Linked DNA regions of Daphnia pulex. The protein of the gene in region 2 purifies or fractionates together with the protein of the main gene of each other region. This does not show direct contact. Links are inferred from orthologs where the notes say so. Each region holds a gene or a part of one and is shown on either strand. Other genes may lie near its edges.

Region 1 (7,180 bases), on a different chromosome or scaffold from region 2:
GATCAATCCTAACTATCCACGGAACAATACAGCCCAAAGCATGATGGCAGTAGCTGCCTTTGCCAAGTCATGCGAGGCCTTCACTTACGCCATTCTCAACATAATCGGGGGACTGACTGGCTGGGGGCTGGGCATCAGCATTTTTCACTGCGCTTTCTTGATCTTTCAGATGGTGATCTGTGCCTACAGCACCCTGATTAACATTGATGTTAAGGATCATCAAAAGAAATTTCTACCCTTGGCCACAATCTTGATGCTCTTTACGTCCATCGACCTTTTCTTTTCTGGGGTGACCGGGTCCATGATAAGAGAAAGTATCTTTTATGCTCGTCGGACCTAAGTTTCCCTTTTTTTTCTTCCCCCCCAAATAAAAATGAATGTCTTTTTTTCTCGTCTCCTTTTTTTCTTTTCTTTTTCTCTCTTTGTTCTTTTCTTTAATGTTCTGTTTTAATTGTCATTTTCCTTGTCTGATAATAAACAAGAATTAATCTCTCTTTGTTCTTTTCTTTAATGTTCTGTTTTAATTGTCATTTTCCTTGTCTGATAATAAACAAGAATTAAACATTTACTATTCAATCATTACAAGGTTAGGATTAGTGAAGCGTATGTACTTGTCAATTAAAGCTACTGAAATGCTGGCCAACACAACACAGGCACAGACAAATCAGTGGCCTTCACTTTTAGTACTTTGTGAACAAATTGAGATGATTAAGATTTGGAATGAGAAGACAATGTCAATAGCTACGGAAGAAGCCAATAATCTTTAACAGATAGGCTTCAGATAATTCAAAATTTCTAACCTGATTTTAGATAGAAGCAATTGTCTCATCTTTGAGTTCAATGTTGGTCTGCTGATTCTTGTCCATATGGACCTTGATCGCTAGGTTGCCAAGTGAGTTCTTTGTTGGAGATTGAGGCATTGAGCAGGCCCTCGGGGGATTTTGTCTGGGATTCCCAAATGCTTTTACTTATTTAATGAAAAAGTATTATAAAAATGAATTGATTAATGATTTTTATTTTAAATTAAAAAAAGATGTGATTAATAAACATATTCAAATCAAAACTATGTGTTATAAATTTATTTAACACACCTGTGCATTGTTTGGGAAAAACTACCTTGTGCATAAGTGCATTATTGTCTGATCATTGTCTGTGTGTGTAGTCTGCTAATCCTGTTTGAAATTGACTTGACTGGCTTGACTGTTCATGTTTTCGTGCATGTTAGTAGATTTCTGTATGTTTCAAATATTCTAAACTATGTAAAGTTTTTGATGATTAGACGTATAATTCAATCTTTAGTTTCTAGCCTCAATAAATTTTCTATTCATGAGGAAATGTCGTTTTACGCAGTTGCCAGGGGAAGGAGAGTGGGCATCTATCCGAGTTTGTATATTAAGTTATCACGTAATAAGAAATTTTCAGTAAAAAGGGAAAACATTTTTCAGGGCTGAATGTCAATCTCAAATACAATGCTACCCTGGTGCACAGTCCTTCCCCACAAGCTGCAAGCTGAAGGTTTCATCCAACAATGTAACTCAAGCATGACACTCAAGAAATACTGCCAGTTAAACCCAGGGCATCCTAACTTCCAAAGATTTCTGATGGTTTGAAGAAATTTGAAATCTCATTTTCTGTAAGTGGAAGTCAATCTCCTACTGCAAAAGCATTTACTTCTGGATCTCAGTTAAAGTATTATTATGCTGTAGCCATTGGTAAAATGTTGGCATTTATTCTGCTTGGTAGGAAAATGATTAAAATCATTGGGATTTGAAAAATAATTTATACAACTCTTTTTTTTTCAAATTACAGGGCAGAGTACAAGGCGCAGTTAGATGGTTGTGGATTTACCAGATATAGAAAGTTTTAAATGCACAGAAAGAAGCTGAACAGTTCATTCATGGAAATCAAATTCAAAAGGGAGTCAGAGCCTCCAATTCTCAATATAGAAAATCTCTATTTTCAATTGAGTAATATTCCTGCCATTCCTAGTATTAAAGGCATTTGTGTTCAAAATTTATCGTCAGTTTCTTTTGGATACCATACTATCCAACAAGATGAAGATGGCTTCATATACCCATCGCTCAATCAATCTACAAATCCATACTTTGATTTTCCTACGGCGCTATCTCCAAGAAGAATTATTTTTACCGCCAAATCATTTGATTTACCAGTGGCTTCATAATCTATACCAATGTTGCTATCACACATGATTTCCATCGCGAATACAAATTGTTAATCCAAACCAACGATTTTGAAAAAACTTTTCCTGTGTTTACTTTCCACATTGCCATAGCAACATGTCCTTTAACAATAGCGCCAAACCGTTTTCCGTGTAAAAGAAGGAAATGTCTTGCGGCTGTGCGCGTCATTCCGATCATTCATTAACAATAATTATTTTTTTCCTGGAGCTAGCATTTGCTACATTGCAGACGTTTTTTAAAATATAAATTGATTAAATGAAAAGACGAGCGATTGGGGTCGTTACTGTAGTAGTAGGCCTTGTCGAGTGGCAAAATAATTCAACTGCGATTTCCATACATTTAATCCCACTAGATTGAGGGAGTTTTTTTTTTATGTATTATACTATGAGAAGTCTCATGTATGTGTACTAAATAATATGATACATTGGGACTGAGAGACAAGTTTACACATTTTCTTTCACATTTGCAACACCAACTCCAACCATAAGGCCAACAACTGTAAATCCTTGTGCTGCAATCCTGAGCCTCATCATTTTTTGTGACATTTGGGGTCTCCTAATGAATCAATTCAAACAATTACAGATTTAAAAAAAATATATTATGGTCAATAACCACACAACAATCAATTTGTAAAGTTATACCCATGACGAAAGGACCACAGGCCATATGTCAATGCAGCTGCAGTTGCTAGACACCCAATAGGAACAAAAGGATTTTCAGAAAATTTTCTGTTGAATTTTTCTTTGAATGTCTCCTGGTTCTTCAAACTTTCTGATCCAATTTCCTCTCTTAACTGAATCCAGTTTAATTCTTCAGCATTTAAAGACTCAATTTCATTGTTTATTTTGCTTGATGTTTCCATTTCTCTGTACACAATCAAAGAGGAATTGTTAATAGTGTAATATAAATTGTTGAAGCAATGTACACATAACTGATCATGAATGCCAAAATATTTTAGATTTCTAAATATTTTGATAATTCACCAATTCGGTCATGAGAAGTCGATTGTGTTTATTAAATTAAAAAGGAATAATAACATACGGAGTATGATGTTTCGTTCGTTCTATAGTATCGCAATTACTTTAAATCTAAAAGTATTAAGACCGAGACTGAAAAGTTGTCAAGAAATTCCGAGTTATTACATAACAATATTCACAAATTGTAGTTGCGACGTTACTACTTGAAGGTTGAACGGTTGAACGTTGAAGCACTGCAGCGATCGGTAGCAGACAATATTTAGCGGTGGTGGCGCTCTTCTTCAAAATATCGTATCTATTTTGCCTGTATTTGATTTTGACTCTGACTTTCGTTTCAGACTTCTACCGCTTGGTGTACAGCTTCAGTGTGAGAAAATTTAATGGTTGTCTTGTCTGGCCTAAGTTAATAGATAGGTTTATTTGTTTGCGTGGGTCCACTGTCATTCCGGTTAAAATTGCCAACATAAGAAATTCTAACACTTCTGCATATTTGATCACGATTCCCGGGAATTGTGTCGTTTTCTAAAAAATGGCGGGGCTAAATGTTGCTCCCAAACGAAAGGAAATTTACAAGTACGAAGCACCATGGACTCTTTACAGTATGAATTGGTCAGTGCGTCCAGATAAGAGATTCAGGTGAGGGAGGAAGTTTAAAATTATGTATTTTATGTTTAAGAAATGTAATATTCAACTTGACTAACCTCAAATTCCTTTACAAATTAGATTGGCTATTGGAAGTTTTGTAGAAGAATACAACAACAAAGTTCAAGTAATTTCATTAGATGAAGATTCAGCAGAATTCAGTGCCAAAAGTACTTTTGATCATCCATATCCTACTACAAAAATTATGTGGATTCCTGATGCGGTATGGAACTATCCTGTTTCAAATATGGTTAAAGAAATGTTAATAATTAAGTGTGTTATCAGAAAGGTGTTTTTCCTGATTTACTGGCTACAAGTGGGGACTATCTACGCATATGGAAAGCAGGAGAACCAGACACAAGATTAGAATGCCTCCTTAACAATGTAATTTTTACATGAATTATTATTATTTACAAGAAATTTAATTCATTGAAAACAATTTCTAGAACAAAAACTCAGACTTCTGTGCTCCTCTTACAAGTTTTGATTGGAATGAAGTTGAACCTAACCTTATTGGAACATCTAGTATTGACACCACATGTACCATATGGGGTTTGGAAACTGGACAGGTAAAGCAATATCTTTAAAACTTCTTTAAATCTTATTATTCTATAACAAACTATTTATCTTAAAGGTTGTTGGTCGAGTTGGTGGCCCTGGTGTAGCAGGACACGTAAAAACTCAGTTAATCGCACATGATAAAGAGGTCTATGATATCGCATTCAGCCGGGCAGGAGGCGGGCGAGATATGTTTGCATCTGTTGGCGCTGATGGCTCCGTGAGAATGTTTGACCTTAGACACCTAGAACATTCAACAATCATATATGAAGATCCTCAGCATCGTCCTCTGTTAAGACTAGCATGGAATAGACAGGACCCTTCTTATTTAGCAACGATATCCATGGATGCTTGTGAAGTATTTTCGGTTTTTCACCTCATTTCAAATAGAGAACACGTTACAAATTTCTTTGTTACAAATGTTAGGTGGTAATACTCGATGTAAGAGTGCCGTGTACTCCCGTCGCTCGTTTGAGTAATCACAGGGCATGTGTAAATGGCATCGCTTGGGCCCCACATTCTTCCTGTCATATTTGCACAGCTGGTAAATATTTTTTATTTGTAACTAGAATTGTGCAAGTACCGTGTGCACGATGTATGCTGCCAATTGCTGTATATAATTGATCCGATTTGATCTGGTTTGTAATAATTTAGGTGATGACCATCAAGCCTTGATATGGGATATCCAGCAAATGCCGCGAGCCATTGAAGATCCCATACTTGCTTACACAGCGGCTGAAGGTGAAATCAACCAAATCCAGTGGGGAGCAACACAACCTGATTGGATTGCCATTTGCTACAATCGATCCCTTGAAATTTTACGAGTTTAATGCTTTAATACCTATATATATCAAAACTGAGTATGACTAATGTCTGAAAACTTCTCATCAGGTTATCTTAGATCGTGTTTTTTTAATAATTCGTATCCTCTCGTGAATCGGATCGTTGATTTGTAATTAAAATAAGGAAAATATCATAAGAATGTGACATTTGAGATTTTGAATTTGTCTGTACTACTAAGCAAAAACTTGGAAAAGAATGACTGAATTTGAATCAACAACATTGTTTTATTAGCTTTCTATCACAGCACTCGGATTCTGTATAAGATCAGCAGGTATTAACATCATATATATTTTTATGTTTCTCTTTAAAATTCAATTTGAGACTGCTAAGTGGTTGGTTTGATTACTTGAAATGCTTTTGTAAGCTGTTGGATTCGAAAGTTGCATAGTTTCTCGTAGCCGCTCGTTAAGTAGTTGGTATCTCTCGCGAATCTGCATTTCGTGATTTTTCTCTTCACGTTCCAAAACCTTAAGGAAACTTGATAGTTCAGCCACTGTAAATTCCTCCCACTGAAATATAGAAAGAAGAAAAAATGGGTGCGCTTATAGTTTAGCGATGGAATATGTCGAAAATTAGAGCCCCGCAATGGTATTTTACCGGAATGTCTCCATTTTGGCTTTCTTGAAGGATTAGAGTTTTGGCACAGCTAGAGGCATCGAGATTGGTATCATCGGCCTGCCAATGTTGGGCAAGTAGAAGCGGACAATCGAAATCATTCAAGCGACGAAGTCGAGCTAAATAATAGCAAATACAACATGATTTGGTATTCTGGAATTTAGTACGATCGAGTCCGACTCGTTTGAGAGAGGGAAGGTAAAAAGTATGACGAAAGAAGGATTCAAACAGATAACGAACGAACGCAAGTATGACTACGTACCTCGACTGGTTTTTCCCGGTTGCCAGCTTTTTTCATAGATGGCCAGTTTTTTTGGTTCCCAACCTGAAAGATGAGGATGGGCTTCTACGATTTGTTGTACCAGTTCGATGCACGCAATATCTCTGAAACGGGGATAAGGAGTTACAAAAGCATGTGTAAGAACGTTGACTCTGTGGGCACCCTCGTTTTAAAATTCAAACTCCCCAAGGAAATCAATACAAAAAGGACCCTGAAAAACTAGAGGCTATGACGAGAATATTGATGGAGTCTAGTTCGATCCACCTACAAATGGTAAAGAAATCGATGCAGGAGTACAAAGAATTCGCGGAAATAGGAAGAAAATTTCAACCTATTCGAGGCAGGTGCCAATTGACTAGCGTAACGAAGTAGTTCACCTCAAGAAATCGTTCTCGATTTGACCAGATTCTGTAAAGCCTCGAGAACGTGACGCTCGTCTGAGCCGACGATGTGATGATTTAGATTTACAGTGTAGCTCCCCCTCTAGCCATTTTCTAGAGACCGGTTGTATCCGGTTTGATGAAAACCGGACATTGGTTACGACTTACGAATGGTTATTTGAGACGAACGCACTTTTACCTCGGAAATGAAGTCTGGGGGCCGGGGCTTCCGTCTTGAAATACAAGAGCATACATTTGTCGCTCACGAACCACCGCGTTGTCAGAAACACCCGCAGCGATGTCATAGGTCGGACGAGGGATAGGACGGAAATCAATAAATGAGGGTAACTTGTTTTTTTGTCGGCAAAAGAAGTGCAAGTAAATTCGAATCGTTTCTGACGACGACTCGGTAGCAGCTAGAAATGAATCTTCCTCGGTTGGACGCATTTCTCCGAGGGACGAAGTTCCGGAATCGTTCAGGACGGATTGGTTATTATTAACGGCCTTGCTTTCAAATGACTGCTGGCTGGAGGAGGCGTCGCTCATCAAGTCGCAAGAATCGGCTTCAAACATCCAACGAAGAGTCACTTCATAAAGGCTTGAAAACCTCCAATCATCGTTTGAATCTTCGGGGACCACCAGATGACCGCCCGCCGTTGTGATGGCGACCGATGCAGTTGAGGG
Region 2 (7,380 bases):
ACTCCTTTTTGTTATGCTGGGTTTGTTTATTTGTAATTCAACAAATCAATATATATTGTGGGATATTAAAACTACTACTAATTGCTATGGATGATTTTTTCTTCGGAAGGTTATGTTCATGATCCTGTTTCGGTCCTTGGTCAAAATAATTAAAGGCTATGCAGATTTTACGAAGAAGTTTCCTTGGAGACACCAGACATTTCTGTCGTGGCCGAACCGACGCTCGAATCGTCGTTGGTAGGAACAGGCTCGTGAATGCAGAACCAGGGCATTTTCTTCTGCAGTTCCATGCTGAAAGGATGAAGAAAAATGTGGTAAGAATGACTGTCATTTCACTATGAATAAGATGTGTTACCGATAACGGGGATGGTTGATTGCATAGATCCATGGGTTGATGCAGGATACCAATTTACAACAACAGGCAGGCACCGTGCTCAGAAGTGGTGTCAGGACGGACCTGTGAAAAGATGACGATGGTGATTTATTTGAGAACAAATTTGTTGAAAGTATTATCTCACCTATTTCCAAAAGCGGCTGTGAGAGCCACAAAGGCATAAGGAGTCCAAGCGAAAACGAACAAGGTGGCGAGAGCAATTGCAACTTTAGCAATGCGAACCTCAGCTGATTTTTCATTTTGATCGCGGTTGCTGCGCAGGGAAGTAACGTTCATCTTTTTGGCCTGGTCACGGAGAGTCTTCTCGTGGTCACCAACGGATCTCACAATTTTGGAATAGTAGAAAATGAGCATTGCCAGCGGGATGACGTAGGAGTAGACGAAAATGGAGCCAACGAAGAACCTGGTCGAAGCGTCCTCCGTCATGTAGTCGAAGGTGCAAGTGGTCAGGAAACCCTCTTCAAATGTAATCAAATATTAAGAAACAAATTCCGTGCATTCTTTGATTCAGTACTAACTGACCAGGTACATATCTGCCCCAAATGCCCAAGAAAGGCATCACCGAAAAAGGTGTGGCCCAAGCCCAGATGGCCACAATCATCAAAGTAACTTGCTTGCGAGATAATTTGCCATCCAATGGACGAGAGATAGTACTGTGAAAACAACAGAATAAATTTTTTTGACTAACGATTTAACACTTTTTTAAAAAGCTTACCGGTGGCGATCGTAAGCAATAGCGGCGTTGTTCACTGCTGAACCAATTCCATTATAACTTCCCATAAGACCGAAAACGTCGCAGCCTAATTTTCCCCAGATAGGTCCTTCATTGTAGGAGTTAATGATCATAACGGGAGATTTCAACATCATGAGCATATCCAAAATCGCAAGATTGACGACCAGCATATTTGAAGGAGTCCGCAAACTCTTACAACTTTATAAGGAAACGAAAATTCTTTTAAAATAATTTTCAAAGTTATTAAATGAATTGATTAATCACTTCGTAAAGATCCAGATGACGACTCCATTTCCAGCGACGCAACAAAACATAAAAATGGTGTAGAGAAATCCAATCATGTAGAGAAGGAACGGGTTTGGGGCCTCGAAAGTCTTCCAATAGCTAAAATGGAATATGTTTCGCTCACATTACTTTCTAATCACAAAAATCTATTAAATGTGTTTATTACGGGTGAACGTAAGACATGTAGTCTTCTGGAGTATTCCATCCCAACATACGCCTTTCCGAACTGTCAATCAATTTACATGGTGTTTACTCTAGCTGCTATTGCACTTTTTTATTTGCTATACGAACCGAAACGCGTCGTAGGTGGAGACAAATGTGCTGTTTTGGGCCATTGCTAGGAAATTTGAGAAAATTGCGAGAAGTGCTAAGAAAGTTTATAAAGAAGTATAACTTTGCAGAGGCCAGCTGGTTAGCCGCTCCTCACTGAAAATTTGTAATATTTAAATACATTAAACTGATCGAATAAATTATGATAACTCTGAATACCTTGGTTCTTTTTCAGTAGCTGAACAGACTTCAGTCAATTGCGAATCTTTGGACATCAGGACGTTGCTTTTATACCACAACTTCATGTTTAATCCAGTTATCAAAGGGTATTCGCCTCGACGACTGTGTATTAAACAGAAGCTGTAAATGTGTATTCGTAGATGCATTGAAATCAAAATCCACGTAATTGGCTTATCAATTGTATCGAAAACCCAATTCTGTGATTTTACCACAAGACTCACAAAGATTTATAAATAAGATTAAACAGATGCAGACAGCGCTGTGTATTGTATATTAGAAGACTTCAGCCCTCATTTGGATCACCGTAGCAGAGGTATATGCCACTATCGCGCGTCAGCATTCGAAAGTGCATGGGATTTACAGTACATCGGGATCGGATAAAGTATCGTACACGGAAGTTACTTCCGCAATCAATCGCAACTATTATTAATATATTAATCTAATTTCGGCAAAATAACCCTACCTACGTCTTCGTCATTTGACATTTCATTCAAGATTTCATTATTTTCATACCATTGTACACAAAATTGCTGTATTTTTAACCTTGTATTTTTAATATCATTGATTTTTTGTTGTTGACGCGATATTTACAGCAAAATTCTTTAATTTGATCTTGATTAAAACAAAATTAAAGTTACTTAAAAAAAATAGATCGGAGCCGCGGAGCGCGGACGTGAGGGGCGTGACTGGGTTGCCTTATTTGGGTATTTGGCAACGTTGTGGAAAGGGAATGGTTAAAGCAAGAGCAGGTCTCAACGTGACTTCGACTTTTTACAGTAGCCCACGAAATCGAAATGTCCGGACCGATTATTGTTCTTAGTAAGTACTGTAATTTAGAAATAGTCTAAAATTGAAGTTAAATAACGTATTGTACTTACTTTGTTAAAGGCCAGAATACCAAGAGGGAGAGTGGAAAGAAGGTTCAGATAGATAATATCACAGCCGGCAAGGTAGGCCCATTACCGCATGGAACTTGTCAAAAATTTGTTTTAAGATTTAATTGTCGATATTCATTATGTTCTTTAAACTTTTTCACATTTTGACGTAAAGTTTTTAGTTTGCAAGTAGAGATACTGTTGGTATGAGAAGGGAAACTATTTTGACATATTCAATGCATTTTTCCTGTCAGTTTCCTTTGTTACGACATTTTTACTTCAACCAAATCTTGTTTAACAGTGTTATACTTAAATTGATTTTCTTAGACTGTGGCAGATGTCATTCGAACATGTCTTGGACCACGAGCAATGCTGAAAATGCTGATGGATCCTATGGGTGGTATTGTTTTAACTAATGATGGTAATGCCATTCTTAGAGAAATCACTGTCCAGCACCCAGCTGCTAAGTCTATGATTGAGATCTCTCGCACTCAGGATGAGGAGGTACCTAATTAACCTACCTGAAAGGCAGTATTTTTCTAGATGTTAAAATGTTTTATTCTTAGGTTGGAGATGGTACTACATCAGTTATTATTCTAGCTGGAGAAGTTCTTGCTGTTTCAGAACCCTTCTTGCAGCAACAAATGCATCCTACTTTAATCATTTCTGCCTACCGTCAAGCCTTGGAAGATGCTGTTACAGTTCTAAGGGATCAAATCAGGTATGATATCACTGGTTGTAAATATTAGGCTATTTTATTGAACAATTTTTTATTTAGCACGCCTGTGGATGTCAATGATCGGTCTCAGTTGTTGTCCATCATCAAATCATGCCTAGGAACTAAATTTATTAATCGCTGGTCTGAGCAAGCTTGTCAAATTGCTCTCGATGCCGTGAGCACAGTCGTAGTTGACGAGAATGGACGTCGGGAAATCGATATCAAGCGATACGCTAAAGTTGAAAAGGTCAGTTACAAACTATTTGTGTCGACGCATCTTCAAAACTAATTTTTTTAAATATTTAGGTTCCTGGAGGTACCATGGAAGATTCTTGCGTTTTGCGGGGAGTTATGTTGAACAAGGATGTTACTCACCCAAAAATGCGTCGTCATATCGTTAAACCACGCATATTATTGCTAGATTGCAACTTGGAATACAAGAAAGGAGAAAGTCAGGTATTGACTAAACCAAGATGTCTTAACTTGAAAACATTATTTTGAAACATTATTTGTTAGACAAACATCGAGATCATGAAAGAAGAAGATTTCACTCGTATTCTAGAACTTGAGGAAGAGTATGTCCAAAAAACATGCGAAGATATCATCCGAGTAAAGCCTGATGTCGTTTTCACTGAAAAGGGTGTATCAGATTTGGCTCAGCATTACCTGGTCAAGGTAATTTTGTTTTCTCTGATCCTTTTTGGTTGATAGTACTTCAAAATTGGATTTAAATTTTCAATGAAGGCCGGTATCACTGCTATCCGTCGCGTGAGGAAATCGGACAACAACCGTATTGCTCGTGCCTCTGGAGCTACAATTGTTAACCGTACTGATGAAATTCGCGAGGAAGACATCGGCACAAAAGCTGGTCTTTTTGAAATTAAAAAGGTAAACCTAAAATTTAAAAGTGACTTATCGACACTTATTTGACATACGTTTTCTTTATAAATAGATTGGCGATGAGTACTTCTGCTTTGTGGTCGAGTGCGAAGATCCCAAAGCTTGCACGATTCTTCTACGTGGAGCTTCAAAAGACGTTCTGAATGAAGTGGAGCGAAATTTGCAAGACGCCATGAACGTTACCCGAAATGTTCTTTTGGAACCTAAACTTGTTCCTGGAGGCGGTGCTTCTGAGATGGCTTTGGCATACGTATGTCAATTCTTTATTTCAGAATAGTATGTGTTTATTCAATTGATTTTACTGTATAGGCTCTGGCTGAGAAAGCAAAGAGTTTGACTGGTGTAACTCAGGCGCCTTACCGAGCAATTGCTCAAGCCCTCGAAGTGATTCCTAGAACTCTGGCACAAAACTGTGGTGCTACCGTCATTCGAACTCTGACTGCTCTGCGAGCCAAACATGCTACTGGCGAATCAACTTGGGGTATCAATGGCGAAACCGGTGAACTGGCTGATATGAAGGATCTAGGAATTTGGGATCCTCTTGCCGTTAAACTTCAAGTCCTTAAGACAGCTGTTGAGGTTAGTTAGTTTCAGACTTGCACACTATTACTATTGTACACAAATATTTACCAATTCTTTGTTTGTTTTAGACTGCAATTCTGCTTTTGCGTATCGACGACATCGTTTCGGGATCCAAAAAGAAGGGTGCTGATAGTTCAGCTCCTGCCCCCGGCGCCGCAGCTGATCAAGAGGCCATGCGTGAATAAGAAGCCAACATGATCCCGTGATCTTGTGGAACTCTCATGGCGAACGATAATAATAATACAATGGCTTCAATCATTCACGCTTCTGCTATGCGACTAACGTTTGGCTACATTTCGTTCTTGTCAACTTCCTGAGTAATTAATTGATCTTCTGTTGGCATAGTATGTCACGCTTGCATCATCTTCGTGAACAAAATACACCATTTTTGCTCATAGTAGATTTCGTATACGAAATAAACAATTAGCTTTGAAGTGAATTGAATGCTAGATTTGTTAGACCGTATATGTTGAACAAGGAAACATGCAATATGGCCTGAAAAGATGTCCCGTGTCCGAATATTTTGCAGTGTAAGTTAAAAGATAGCGTAGTAGTGGATTAAAAGCAGATTTCAAAGCACGTTGTTCTAGAGGGAAACGCGCGCAGCAAGGCGTGCACGTCGTTTTCGATAGAACATTCGCGAACCACCAAGGAAGACACCAAGTAAGGTAGCTTTCGTAGAATCGGCAATCACCACTCTTTAGTTAATTAAAAATGAAATATTTGTAGATAAAAATTTTTTAGATAATATGAAATAAAAGCTGAAAGGTTACAAACTTGCGATTTACGAATTAAAAACGAAAGACATTTTTTTTAAAGGTTGAATATTGCCAGTATGGCAACGTTTTGCTGAACCAAACAAAAACGTTACTTTACGAATTTGTCGTCTGAAGTCTAATGCGACGACCGGTCACAACTAATGATCAGCCTGTAGAAGCAGAATTTAGAATTTCTGATGGCGACAAACGTAAGATTTGTTTGAATTAATCAATTTTTTCCTTAACGTTCTATTGAAATGCCAATCCAAATCTTTTACGAAATCATTACCTCTTTATCTACCAATGCAGGTTAGCTTACCGGCTGTGTGCCCCTCGTGTGCTGCCGGCGGAATTCGTTCATCAGTGAAGCTGTACCAGATAAATCTGGAACAAGCTGCTGTTTTCTGTGAAAATACCTCAGTAAAGTCTTTATTTCATTTGTTAGCTATATGTACTAATGTATTATTTATGTTTTCCAGTGTCCCTTTCCACTGTTTTCACAGGATGTCTGCCCGTTAGTAGTGTCACATGTTGCAGCACCCATACCAGCTGCAAACTCTAAATTCAAAACAAGAAGCATGGATACAGAATCTATGACGTCAAGTTGCTCTGGTTAGTAATAAAAGAATTTTTTCAACTACTTCAACATTTGTAGAATTAGGAAGTGAATAAGAATTTCTTTGTAATTTTTTAATTTAAAGACAAATTTTCACCAACATTGTTGTGGAATGTAAATTTAAAAAATACTAAAATAATCTCTGGTTGCTTTGTTGTTTACCTAACCTTTTTGATTAATATGTTACTTTTAGAATTGCCAAAAATAATTATTGGAATTATACATTTTTTCCAGTTTCCTCTTGGGCGTCACATGGAAGTACTATAAGCAGTCTCTCAAGCAATGTAGCTACTCCACCACCATCAATAAGCAGCAAGCCCTTTACCTGGCCATCGAGTCAATATTCAGTTTACCAACCTAAAGCAACCATGGCTCCAAAGCAAAATAATGTTTTTGATTGGATAACTCCAATTTCTTCATCTCAGTCCAGTCCTGCGTCTTCCGTATTCAGCGTCAATGACAGAGAAGTGGAGATGGTAATGGACAAGTCAGCATGTCCTACTCCTAATTCTGGACTAACCCCAAGCCCAAGCCCTACTTTATCAGATATTTTGGAAGCTGTGGGAAGCCAACCATCAGATAACAATGATTCCTACATTGAGTCACTGTGCTCATTCTTTGATGAAGTGAGCGAGGCACCAACCCCCACCATCAACTCTCCTGCCAACGAGGAAACAACTTACACGGTGACAGAATTAGTCGGTGTGCAAAGTGCTACGGTTACGGATCTGCTGAGTCAGCAACTTCAAGAAGCTGCAACCCCAGTTCGTCAATCAACAAAACGAGTGAATGAAGGGAGTGATTTAGACGAATCTAACTCTCAATCGTTGGATTCAACCTCACCAGCCGTGGCTGCATGGAAAAACATTGAACTTCCGAAAAAGAAATCGTCAGTTATTCCGAAAAAGAAATCGTCAGTAATTCCGAAGAAACCTCAAACACCTCGAGTGAGAAAACCCCGCGCCAGATCTGGTTTAACTAGTTCAGACGAAAGCACATCTTCCTCAAC

Evidence for each region.
Region 1: the proteins of T-complex protein 1 subunit gamma-like (region 2) and DDB1- and CUL4-associated factor 7 purify together in Homo sapiens (affinity purification with mass spectrometry; 4 studies listed by BioGRID and IntAct, counting the BioPlex papers as one, with this or other methods). This does not show direct contact. The link is inferred for Daphnia pulex from reciprocal best matches to the Homo sapiens genes CCT3 and DCAF7.

Annotation. Positions count from the first base shown.
Region 1 is NC_060025.1:4,761,657-4,768,836, forward strand, and holds DDB1- and CUL4-associated factor 7, read left to right. Parts: upstream 1-3,507; 5' UTR 3,508-3,707; coding exon 3,708-3,814; intron 3,815-3,901; coding exon 3,902-4,043; intron 4,044-4,105; coding exon 4,106-4,204; intron 4,205-4,266; coding exon 4,267-4,389; intron 4,390-4,454; coding exon 4,455-4,736; intron 4,737-4,804; coding exon 4,805-4,922; intron 4,923-5,032; coding exon 5,033-5,208; 3' UTR 5,209-5,435; downstream 5,436-7,180. Other genes in the region: uncharacterized protein LOC124202359, read right to left, coding at 5,533-5,730, 5,819-5,955, 6,099-6,220, 6,696-7,180. UniProt on the Homo sapiens protein: Involved in craniofacial development. Acts upstream of the EDN1 pathway and is required for formation of the upper jaw equivalent, the palatoquadrate. The activity required for EDN1 pathway function differs between the first and second arches.
Region 2 is NC_060017.1:2,679,965-2,687,344, reverse strand, and holds T-complex protein 1 subunit gamma-like, read left to right. Parts: upstream 1-2,586; 5' UTR 2,587-2,716; coding exon 2,717-2,741; intron 2,742-2,810; coding exon 2,811-2,872; intron 2,873-3,124; coding exon 3,125-3,301; intron 3,302-3,363; coding exon 3,364-3,518; intron 3,519-3,575; coding exon 3,576-3,762; intron 3,763-3,821; coding exon 3,822-3,971; intron 3,972-4,031; coding exon 4,032-4,190; intron 4,191-4,259; coding exon 4,260-4,403; intron 4,404-4,467; coding exon 4,468-4,665; intron 4,666-4,724; coding exon 4,725-4,994; intron 4,995-5,065; coding exon 5,066-5,182; 3' UTR 5,183-5,394; downstream 5,395-7,380. Other genes in the region: opsin, ultraviolet-sensitive-like, read right to left, coding at 168-291, 356-457, 519-852, 917-1,047, 1,110-1,325, 1,392-1,511, 1,579-1,638, 1,704-1,747; flocculation protein FLO11-like, read left to right, coding at 5,953-5,964, 6,065-6,175, 6,235-6,367, 6,606-7,380. UniProt on the Homo sapiens protein: Component of the chaperonin-containing T-complex (TRiC), a molecular chaperone complex that assists the folding of actin, tubulin and other proteins upon ATP hydrolysis.